2 linked regions of the Rattus norvegicus genome follow. The protein of the gene in region 1 interacts with the protein of each later gene in a pairwise test. Links are inferred from orthologs where the notes say so. Each region holds a gene or a part of one and is shown on either strand. Other genes may lie near its edges.

The links. The genes of interacting proteins can lie anywhere in the genome.
Region 2: the proteins of Lrp1 (region 1) and Mapk8ip1 interact in a two-hybrid assay, tested with the Homo sapiens proteins (2 studies listed by BioGRID). The link is inferred for Rattus norvegicus from reciprocal best matches to the Homo sapiens genes LRP1 and MAPK8IP1.

The regions. Positions count from the first base shown.
Region 1 is NC_086025.1:65,296,446-65,301,747, reverse strand, and holds part of Lrp1 (prolow-density lipoprotein receptor-related protein 1 precursor), read left to right. Parts: intron 1-449; coding exon 450-654; intron 655-780; coding exon 781-945; intron 946-1,371; coding exon 1,372-1,616; intron 1,617-1,777; coding exon 1,778-1,909; intron 1,910-2,361; coding exon 2,362-2,589; intron 2,590-2,763; coding exon 2,764-2,938; intron 2,939-3,025; coding exon 3,026-3,120; intron 3,121-3,289; coding exon 3,290-3,439; intron 3,440-3,607; coding exon 3,608-3,748; intron 3,749-4,112; coding exon 4,113-4,247; intron 4,248-5,302. UniProt on the Homo sapiens protein: Endocytic receptor involved in endocytosis and in phagocytosis of apoptotic cells. Required for early embryonic development. Involved in cellular lipid homeostasis.
Region 2 is NC_086021.1:98,815,872-98,821,973, forward strand, and holds the start of Mapk8ip1 (C-Jun-amino-terminal kinase-interacting protein 1), read right to left. Parts: upstream 3,827-6,102; 5' UTR 3,610-3,826; coding exon 3,539-3,609; intron 2,528-3,538; coding exon 2,422-2,527; intron 261-2,421; coding exon 1-260. UniProt on the Homo sapiens protein: The JNK-interacting protein (JIP) group of scaffold proteins selectively mediates JNK signaling by aggregating specific components of the MAPK cascade to form a functional JNK signaling module. Required for JNK activation in response to excitotoxic stress.

The sequences.
Region 1 (5,302 bases):
AAGTTGGAAACATCTCAAATGTCCACCTTCAGGAGAATAGCTGAGTAAAAGCTGAGTCATTCGTCACATGACAGTTTCGAAAATAATAGGACACAGGGACATATTAGCATAGAGTGTATATTCTATGGGTAAATTCTAGCATGTTCCATCGCCCTTATAAGTGTGTTCAAACATGTTCCCAGAGGCTTCCATTCTCCCTGACCTTGTGTCTCAGGTGACCCCCTCAGAACAGTGCATACATAAAGTGGCTGCCCTCATCCCTCCTCCAAGAGCCTCCTTCCCCACCTACATATCCTAGTGGGAAAGGGAGAGGAGAGTGGGAGCCAGGCCCTTCAGCAGTCTGGGCAGAAGTGTCAGGGTGAATTCTGATAATTGAGGGATCCTAAGACCCACGCCTCCACCAAGTCTTCACCAGGAGTCTCTGACCACCTTCAACCTTCTCTTCCTAGCACTGACCAGCTTTGAGGTGGTGATTCAGTATGGCTTGGCCACCCCAGAGGGCCTGGCTGTAGACTGGATAGCAGGCAACATCTACTGGGTGGAAAGCAACCTGGACCAGATCGAGGTGGCCAAGCTGGATGGAACCCTCCGAACCACTCTGCTGGCGGGCGACATTGAGCACCCAAGGGCAATTGCTCTGGACCCTCGGGATGGGTGAGGACTCTGCCTGTCCTGTGTTCAGCCTGGCAAGGGACACCTGTCTTCTCAGTACTGTTGACTCCCCGACAGTCATCTGTGGTGCTGCCGCCCCAATTTTGTCCCCCCTCCCTGCCTCCCTAGGATTCTGTTTTGGACAGATTGGGATGCCAGTCTGCCCCGAATTGAAGCAGCATCCATGAGTGGGGCCGGGCGCCGAACCATCCACCGAGAGACAGGCTCTGGGGGTTGGCCCAACGGGCTCACCGTGGACTACCTGGAGAAGCGCATCCTCTGGATCGATGCCAGGTCAGGGGCATCTCGGCAGGGGAGGGGTGGGACCAGCGTAAACAAAGATGAAGCCAAGAGGAGGATGGGGGTGAGGGTGGGGAGGAGCGCCAAGAAGGAGCAGGGTTGTAACCTACAGTCATCCATCTGCCCTCCACTTTTCTCACACCCTGTGTCCTCTGCTGAGGGCTCTGCCTGCTCAGAACAAAGAGAAGGTGCCTTTTCCTAACTCACACTAGAACTCTGAATGCCAACTGTAACCCTGGGAAGGACATGTGGAAGATTCCCTTGGGGAACATAAGGCTAGGATCCCAACCCATTGGATTACCCCCACCCCCACCTCGTGCAGCCTGCGTCTCTCTTTAGCCCCGGGGCAGGGCTTGGGAAGAGGGAAGGTGTACACCAGGGTCCCTTGCTGAGACCCCCACTTCTCTCTGTTACTCTCAGGTCAGATGCTATCTACTCAGCCCGTTATGACGGCTCCGGCCACATGGAGGTGCTCCGGGGGCATGAGTTCCTGTCTCACCCGTTTGCCGTGACACTGTATGGTGGGGAGGTGTACTGGACTGACTGGCGAACAAACACACTGGCTAAGGCCAACAAGTGGACCGGCCACAATGTCACTGTGGTACAGAGGACCAACACCCAGCCCTTCGACCTGCAGGTGTATCACCCTTCTCGGCAGCCCATGGGTAAGGGAACTGAAGAGGAACCACCAGCCCCTGGACAGGGAGGGCGCTGGGATAACAGGGGTGGGGGTGGGCGGATGAGAGTTGGGGTGAGAGCCAGGTGGGAAGGGACAGGGAAGGATCAACACGTCACAGGATGCTCTCGCTTCTTCTCCCCGGACCAGCTCCAAACCCATGTGAGGCCAATGGGGGCCGGGGTCCCTGTTCCCACCTGTGCCTCATCAACTACAACCGGACGGTCTCCTGTGCTTGTCCCCATCTCATGAAACTCCACAATGACAACACCACCTGCTACGGTAGGAAGCCGCCTCCCCTAACAGCTAAGGGTAAACTGAGGCAGAAGTGGAGGTCTGAGGTCCCTGCTGCTAAGCAAAGGAGGGGCTCTGAAAATCAGCGAAGGAAGGAAGCCGGGACCTGACACTGTCCCTTTGTAGAGGTTCCCAACCTGTGGGTCTCGACCCCTTTGGGGGTCAAATGACCTTTTCCCGGGGGTCACATGTCAGATATCCTGCATGTCATGTTACTATTCATAACAGTAGCAAAAGTACAGTTATGAAGTGGCGATGGCAATGATTTTATGGTTGGGCGTCACAACATGAGAAAGGGTCACAGCATTAGGAAGGTCAAGGGCCACTGTCTTAGCAGAAGGCCAACAGCACACAGTGGGGACTCGGGAGGGACCTAACCTAGGTAGGCAGGAAATCTGGAGGCAAGGGACTGCATTCAGTGACCTGCTTGCATCCCACAGAGTTTAAGAAGTTCCTGCTGTACGCACGTCAGATGGAGATCCGGGGTGTGGACCTGGACGCCCCGTACTACAATTACATCATCTCCTTCACGGTGCCCGACATTGACAATGTCACAGTGCTGGACTATGATGCCCGAGAGCAGCGAGTTTACTGGTCTGACGTGCGAACCCAAGCCATCAAACGGGCATTCATCAACGGCACAGGCGTGGAGACCGTTGTCTCTGCAGGTTCTGGCCCTGTCCTCACCCCAAGGCCTACGCCAATTATGCCCCCAGTGGTCCTGATGCTCTTTCTCCAAACCTTATCCCTAGCCTGTTTCTTGACCCTCGTTCCCTAGGTACCACACTCTCCTCAGCCTATACCTGTAAATACCAACCGCCGTTCCTTATTTGTGCCCCCAGACTTGCCAAATGCCCATGGGCTGGCTGTGGACTGGGTGTCCCGAAATCTGTTCTGGACCAGTTATGACACCAACAAGAAGCAGATTAACGTGGCCCGGCTAGATGGCTCCTTCAAGAATGCGGTGGTGCAGGGCCTGGAGCAGCCCCACGGCCTGGTTGTCCACCCGCTTCGTGGGTCAGTCTACTGTAGCTCGGGGCTGGGGCACACCCGTGTGAGGAGGGAAGAGGAGGACCCTTACCCTCTTCTTGGTTCTTTTCCCAGCAAGCTCTACTGGACGGACGGGGACAATATCAGCATGGTCAACATGGATGGGAGCAACCGGACTCTGCTCTTCAGTGGCCAGAAGGGCCCTGTGGGTATGCACTTGCCCTGCTTGTTCCTGCAGGCCAGGCCTCTAGCTCCCCAGTTAGGAGCTGCTCCTGGTGTCTCCTATGCTTGTCCCCCATCTAGGCTCTTCCAGCTCCCAGCTTGGTGCCCACTCTCACAACCATGGCTCCGTGGCTCTGACACCCATTCCTCTTCTAGGCTTAGCCATTGACTTCCCTGAGAGCAAACTCTACTGGATCAGCTCTGGGAACCACACGATCAACCGTTGCAATCTGGATGGGAGTGAGCTGGAGGTCATCGACACCATGCGTAGCCAGCTGGGCAAGGCCACTGCCCTGGCCATCATGGGTGAGGGCTTGGGTGGGAAGAAGGACGGAAGTAAAGCAGGCTAGGCACAGCCGAATGGGGGGAGGCATGTCATGTGGGCCACTTTCCACCCCAGGAGCCTGATGGCTTCTGCAAGAGGGCTGAGCAGGGGACCTTCCCAAGGGTCTTATTCCCTCCTGTTGCCCCCAGGGGACAAGCTGTGGTGGGCAGATCAGGTGTCAGAGAAGATGGGCACATGCAACAAGGCCGACGGCTCCGGGTCGGTGGTGCTGCGGAACAGCACCACGTTGGTTATGCACATGAAGGTGTATGATGAGAGCATCCAGCTAGGTATGCAGTGGGTGCAGGGATGTGGTGTACAGCGGGTCTGCAGCAGCAAAGGGTGGGGGAGCAGAGAGGCTGCAGAACCATGCCCATGAGCGGCCTCCAGAATAGTGGGGTGACGGGCCAGAGGGAGGCTGAGCTCCACTCCTCACCCACAGGGCTTTTCCTTTCACCTTATACCCACTCGTGTGAAATGTAGACTCAGTCTGGCCAGAAGGTCCAGGCTTCTAAGAAGACATAAGTCCTGAGAGTTGGGTTGGGTGGGACCCTGACAGGTCCAAGGTGAATCCAGTGACTGTCCTCTCTGAGCAGCCCAAGCCTATCCCCACAAAGGCCATCTCACCCTTTTCTGTCCACTGCCCTCCCCCAGAGCATGAGGGCACCAACCCCTGCAGTGTCAACAATGGAGACTGCTCCCAGCTCTGCCTGCCAACATCAGAGACAACTCGCTCCTGTATGTGTACAGCTGGTTACAGCCTCCGGAGCGGACAGCAGGCCTGTGAGGGTCAGTTCCCGGCATTTCCTCTCTGCCTAACCTTGACCCCTTCTACCCTATTGCTACATCGTGCGTTTGAGAAAGACATCATGTTACCAGGAGGCTTCTGGGTTAGATGGTTATCCAGTCCCCCTTCTGGGTACTGTGGACAAAAGGTCGAGCCAGAAAATGGGGCCAGCATAGTAAGAAGCTGGATCACAATGTGCTGCTGACTGTCCAGTATCTGCAGTAGGTTTTGGTGAGGTAGTCACCCACTGACAGAGGCAGGCCAGCTTGGCAGAAGAGGCGTGCCCCATGCTGTGCCATGGGTTTATAGAGTACATAGAATGTGATACTTGGTACATTGAAGAAAGAAGTTGGTGGTTCAATAGAGTGTGCTTAACATGACCTGAGCCCTGACTTAAATCCCAGCTATGTATGTGCACAGTGGGGACAGACGCTCATGTTATATAAGAGGCAAGAAATGTAGCTAAGCAGTCAAGTTCCAGGGCCCCTGAGCCCTGTCAAGGGCAGTGTGGGAAGACTATGATAAGGCTGTGAGCTAGGGTGGGGTCCTGTGGGTTCTCAGCCAGGAGTGCCTGGAAAGTGGTGTTTGGAGATTAACCTGGGGGTAGAAAGCTTACAGAATGGGGGAGGGAGAAACCAAGGCAGTTAGACCAGTTAGGAGACTATTAGGAGTGTGCGCTTGAGAAGGCATGCTCTAGGCTGGGCTACTCAGCCGGCTTGCAGGGAAGGGATGAGACTCAGAGACACTTCATGAGAACTTGCTGGTTTACAAGCTTGCCCTTGGACAGAACTTTACCCCAAAGAGCTCTGACAGAAACCTCCTGCTTTGATGTGGGTGGGTGTTACAGAAAGGAACACAGAACCAAGCAACATGGAAACATTGTATCACACATTTTATCAAAGGGATGGGAATCAGGGAGGATTCTGGGATGCAGAGGTAGCGATGCCCTCTCAGAAACAGAAAAACTGGGAACAAGACTGGCCCCGGGCAAGCAAGATGCAGGGAACTTTGTGTTGGGAAAGCATTTGGAACAGAGCAGAGGCAGGGCAATGAAAAC
Region 2 (6,102 bases), on another chromosome or scaffold:
GGCCGGTAGGTGTCTCCGCTGCCTGTGCCGGGGCCCTGGCCCTGACCCTGGCTGCGAGACGCCGGCTCCTGGCCAGACTCGGCTTTGGAAGGCCCCACTCCTGGCCGTTGGGCAGCGAGCTCGTCGTCGTCCTCTTCGTCGTCCTCGGCGCCCGGAGTGTCACTTGCCGCGTCGATCAGGTCCATCTGCAGCATCTCCGCCTGCAGCCGGCTCCCCGCGCTACCGCTGCTACCCGCAGACAGTAGCCCGGCGCGCGGGGGCTGCGCGGCGCGGACGGAGGGGAGTCAGAGGAGGGGCCTTGTGAGCGCGGGAGGGGTCTCGCAGGAGGGGTGGGTCTGATGCCTAGGTGCCCCGCCCCTCAATCGGACGAGTCCATTTCGCGGCCGCAAGGGGTGGGACACTGGGAGCCAGGCAGAGACAGAAGCACTGGGCCGCTCCCGTCCGCCACTCCTCCTCCCCCCGGAGGCCGGATCCTTACGCCGCCAGCGCAGAGAACCGCCCACGCCTCTCTTCTCCCACGGTCCCCCCTCCGGATTCCTTGCACCCTTCCGTTCCCTTGGTAACGGCCAGTGACCTCACCCGGGTTGTAAGCCGAGCCCAGAGTGAAATCACCGCTGTTGCCATGGAGACCTAGGGGTCGCCCAGGAATTCCGTCCCCAATGGGGATGAGCATGAGCGAGACAACTGGCATTTGAAGGGGACATTGAAGCAAACTGGGGAAAGTGCATGTCAGCCAGGTAAGGAAGACTGCACTGCGGGCAGGAGACCCTGACTGGACCCGAAGGGGAACTTTAAGGGGAGACCTTCCCAGTCAGCTCTGACCTGAACACATCCCTCAGCCAACCTATCCTTTATAGACCCGAACTGTATGCTACTTCCACTGTTGCCTCTAACTCCTGGCACCTTGGACAGATCCTTTGACTAGTCAACCCTCAAGAGTTGACTAGGCCTATAATGCTGTCCTCCAGGTGAGAAAGAGAGAGAGAGACAGGGAGGGAGAGAGGGAGGGAGAGACAGGAGGAGAGGAGAGAGCGAGCGAGACAGAGAGACAGAGAGAGAAAGAGGAGAGGAGAGGAGAGAAGAGAGTGAGACAGAGATGAGAGAGACAGAGAGACATAGAGAAGAGGAGAGGAGAGACAGAGAGGAGAGGAGTGAGACAGAGAGACGAGAGAGAGAGAGAGAGAGAGAGAGAGAGAGAGAGAGAGAGAGAGAGAAAAGAGGAGAGACAGAGAGACACAGAGAGAGAAACTTTGACTAGACTCCTACCAGGAGATCACTCTAGTTAGCCTACTACCAGGGCAGGGGGAGGTGATAGTTCTGGCTAATTGCATTAGACCCTCTTGAAAGCTTTGCATATGGGAGACAGTGGGTTTTTTTGTTTGTTTTTTTTTTCTTTTTTCTTTTTTTCGGAGCTGGGGACCGAACTCAGGGCCTTGCGCTTGCTAGGCAAGCGCTCTACCACTGAGCTAAATCCCCAAACCCCGGGAGACAGTGGTTTTAAAGTTCAAAGCAAGTATGACCCATCTCTGGGACCACTCTCTAAACCCAGAAGTAGTAGCCTCTGCCTCCATCCTTGCTGGCCTGGTAAGAGAGTGAAGGAGTTGGGAAGCATAAAGTCACCCTCACAGCTTGCTTTCCCTTTGCCTGGAAGTTTGTAAAAGTGCTAGGGATACCAGGAGGGCAACACTAAGACAAATGCCCTTCCCTGGTTCACACCATGGAAATGCCATATCTAGCAACTCAACTACACCTGGTGCTGGCCTCTGATCCTTAGCCCTGTGCCGTTGCCTTCCCTATCCTGCAGGTAAGTCCTTGCTCTGTGTTCTGACAACAGGATGGGGATTCCCATCTATCCCGGGTACCTTGGCACTCAGATATACAGAAGAGAGCCTGTCACTAGGATAAAGCCAAGGGGCTCTGAGCAATGCCAGTACTGGACCAACCATGCAGCAGGGGCCACTGAAAGCCTAAAATGCTGGCGGTGTGGTCAGGGGGGTGCAGGAGCAGTCACAGGAGCTAGTCCAGCAGCACCCGGGTTCCTCCTTCCTGCCCCAAAGCACTGCAGATTCCACCAGGCTCCACCCAGTACTGTCGCAGGCCCTCTGCCAAGAAGCTCATGAGAGGCCCTTCCCTTCACTCTGGTCCTCACTGCCACTGTCCTACATCTCAAGCCCCCTGCTCTCTTTCCCTGTGAACAACTGAAGAAGCTGCTTCCGGCTTTAGTACTGACAAAAATAATAAATGGAGATTTTGGATTGAGCACCCAAGATGTGTCAAGCATTATACTAGATGCTTCCTACCTTGTTATTTCACTTCCCGGGAGTGCCACACACACTCACAAGCTCCTTTGTAAATAGCGGGGTTCCCTAATCTTTGTGCCCATCCTCCCAGCCACTCAGACTCTTCAGACCCAGCCCTTACCCGGAGAGACAAGGTGTCTTTGCACTGCAGGCTGATGCCACACTCATCAGTGATCTCCGAAAGGTCTTCATCCTCAAACTCCTCCAGGCTGATATCATGGGTGAGCCTAGTGGGGACAGAAACCAAAGTCACAACCCAGGGCCCCTAAGCCCCAACTAAGCCTGCTGGCCTCTCCCTCTTCTCAGGGGAAGACCGTGGGAGGCAGGTAGCAGCTCCCAGATGAAGGACTCAGTCTGTCAGCGCAGTGGCAGGGGAAGGATTTGGGGTTGGAGCCAAAAGGCATTCCACCTAGGGTGGCGGAGGAGGCATCTCCAGGCTTCTCCAGCATCACCGGCTGGGAGTTCTCCATCCGGCTGCCAACCAGAAGGCAGTCCTAGAAGGCCCAACTGTCCAGACCTTCAGTTCTACTGGAGAAATGCCTTTATGGCCAAGGCAGTGCCAAGGCCATTTCAACCCCCAAGAGGTACCAGAGTAGGAAAATCTTTGCACTCCACAGTAACAAGACCCAAGGAGCCACCAGAAGGGCACAGTAGGTGCCCCTTTCTCTCACCCACAAAGATATACGCCACTGAGCCATGGTCACAGTGAGGGGGACCTGCCAACATTCTTGGTGTCATCTCTTCAACTATACAATCTCATCTGGTATAAGGACCCTGAACAAATGGGGTCAGGGAAGACCAAGGCTAGGTCTTGTGAGTGGCCATGGAGAGCACTTGGTACTAGACCACTAACAGACTTCCAGGAGCCCAGGCTACCCTGTGTGCCTACCTTGGAATGCACTACTGAGATTGCCACTGTGGTGCTGACCTGTCCCCTGCACCGGCTCACTCTGACCCTGGTACTCTGTCTGGCTTAGTATAAATGGGACATCTGGGGAGTTGGAGAGAATGCCTGGGCCTTTTCCCAGAGACCAGGAGGTTAGGCACACAGCAGAGGTACACAAGCTCATCCAAGGTCACCCAGGAGAGGAAGGACAGGGTGCAGCTCCCAGGGAAGCCTAGAAGGCTCGCACCTCTGTCTTCTACCTCACTCAGTCTGAACAGGGCCCCTGAGCTCAATAGAGCACCTCCGGACAACTCGCCCTTCCCCCACCTGAGGCCAGGCCCCAGGACCCTACCAGCGTTCCCACTGATCCTCCAACCAGCTGTCATTGTCTGGGCTCGAATCCATCTTCAGTACCAGCTGCATGGAGAGCCCTGCCCGGCCAGGGGGCTGCGGGGCTCCAGAGCTGCCCTTTCATGCCCAGAAGGGTAGGGGGGCCAGAGCTCAAGGCAGGGCTGGGACTTCTGGCCTCCACAGACTGGGCCTGCCTTTCTGCATTCTGCCGGCTGCAGAAGCCCGGGGAGCTCATTAAAAATAGATGGGCCAGAGAGGAGGCCGCAGCTGCCGACCCAGGCCCCAGCCCCAACTCTTCCTGGCCCAACCCTCAGATGCGGGCAGCTTCCTTCCTTGGCAGCCCGATGCGCAACGATGTCGTCGCCTCCCCCGCGGGATCAGGTTACTGCAATCAATGCTACTGGCTCCACCTGCCCTTCCAATGCCCCTATTGGGGGCTGGAGTGACCCCCCCTTCCCTCCCAAGGCCAGGCATGTAAGCAGACAGCAGAAATCTGGTAATTTTTTTCCCTCAACGCCAGACCCCGATCTGCTTTAAAGGGCCAGCGCCACACTCAGGGTGCCAAATGAGAAGATGGAAGGGGCTCCCGAAGGGCCCCAAGAATGGACACCTGATTCCACACAGACACAGGCTCCGCCTCCACACCGCATCTGGGAGGCTTCTGCAAGCCCAGGGCCAGGGCGGTTGGTTCAGGGATTGGTGCTGGCTGGAAGGATGCGCAGGAAGACAGCAATGGGTACCACTAGTTTGGACGCAGGATTGGGAGTCATTTGGGAGTGACTTTGACTGAACATGGAGGTCCCTAGTGACAACTGCCCTGGAAGATTCTGACCCCAAGGGTAGCTGCAGGTTCTCAGGCTGGGGGGTGTGGCTACTAGCTGGTACTGAAATGACATGGGGACTGGTCCAGAGGCCAGAGCACCCTCCTCAGTCTGGCCTCTTGGCCCTGTGGCTAACCCTAAGTGCAGTCTGACTGTAAGGTCTGGGACTCAGACAGCATGGCTGAGTTCCTGGGTCCCACGAGGCATCTTCTCTGGGAGTGTCCTCGGATGCCCCCAGCTCCACTGGTGTCTGCACACACCTCTGTCTCCTTATTGCCAAACCCTGGTCCAGTTCCTGCATTAACTACACCACCTTGACTGCCAGCCTCAGTCTCCCCTCTCCCCCTCTGACCTCTCCTGTGGCCATGAGACAGTAAGGGACACCACCATCCTTTCTTTCCTCACTCAAAAACCCTCCAGGACTCTGCAAGGGGGAGACTCAGCCTTGTATGTTTACTGTTTGCTGGGCCTTGCCTCCCAAGGGTGGGTACTGGGCCCCAACAGTGCTCAGAGAAACCTTCCTCCAGGAAGCCCTCCTGACCCATCCATCAGAAATGCCCTACCCTGGGGTTGGGGATTTAGCTCAGTGGTAGAGCGCTTACCTAGCAAGTGCAAGGCCCTGGGTTCGGTCCCCAGCTCTGAGAAAAAAAAGAAAAAAGAAAAAAAGAAATGCCCTACACTTCCTGACTACAAAGCTGGGTGGAGTACATCCCCCTCATCATCTGTATTTTTCCCTTCCTGACTCCCATCTAGACCGGATGCTCCTGGAGGGCAGGTCTGGTGAGGTGTCAGGTACACACTCTAGGCTCAGTAGATACTTGCTAGGTGCGGGCCACAGGACAGCCTCAGTCCTTACCCTTCCTCTCAGACTGAAGGGTTTGCAGTGGTCTAAGGATTCTACATGGCCACAGGATGTGTCTGTGTATCCATGTCCTCTAGGCATGGACCAAGAAGCCAGTCCACCAAACAACAGGACTGAGTGGGGCCAGACCAGACCAGACCAGGTTAGTGGGGCAAAGGTGAGAAGGGCTCTGGGCTCTGGTCAGGAGCCTTCTATTAACTCTTAGCTCCGTTGAGGGCAGGGAGCGTGTTCTTGTCTTCTCTCCCTCCCAAACTCACTCATGAACGAAGTATCAGGGATGACACACTTCATCCATTTAAAACCCATGGTGTTCTTACCCTAGTCTTACTTTGGGGTGCTTTGAGGTGGCAGGGTGACATCATGGGATGACATCATGTCAGGCCTGAAGTGTCTCACTCTTCTTCCAAGCTGCCATGTGCTACATTTCTTTACCACCCTGGAATAGGGTTCTGGGCCATCTCATGGATAAGGTGCCCTAAGCCTCAGGCATCGGTATTGTAAACCTCAGTTCCCTTCCTCCTGGCCACCCCAGGATAAGATGGAGCATGTGAGTTACAAAGGAGGGAGGATGTCACTACCTAGGAGGGGATAGAACTGGCCAAGGGCTGACCTCTACTGCCACCCACTCTCCCCTAGTCACCATGGTCTAGATCTCCTGGGCAGAACCAAGAGACACTTGCCGAAGAAAGGGACTTGCAACTCCGTGTTCACAGATACCAGCTGTAGGGAAGGAAGAAAAGAGGCAGGGAAGCTGGAGGGTAGGCACGTGCACTGGGAAGACGGGGGCGGGGGGGAGTGTTCTTCTGACCTCGCCCAAGCCATTTTCTTAGAAGTATGAGCCCTGACCTGGGAGGTGACCCAGGAGAACTGCGCAGCCCTGGC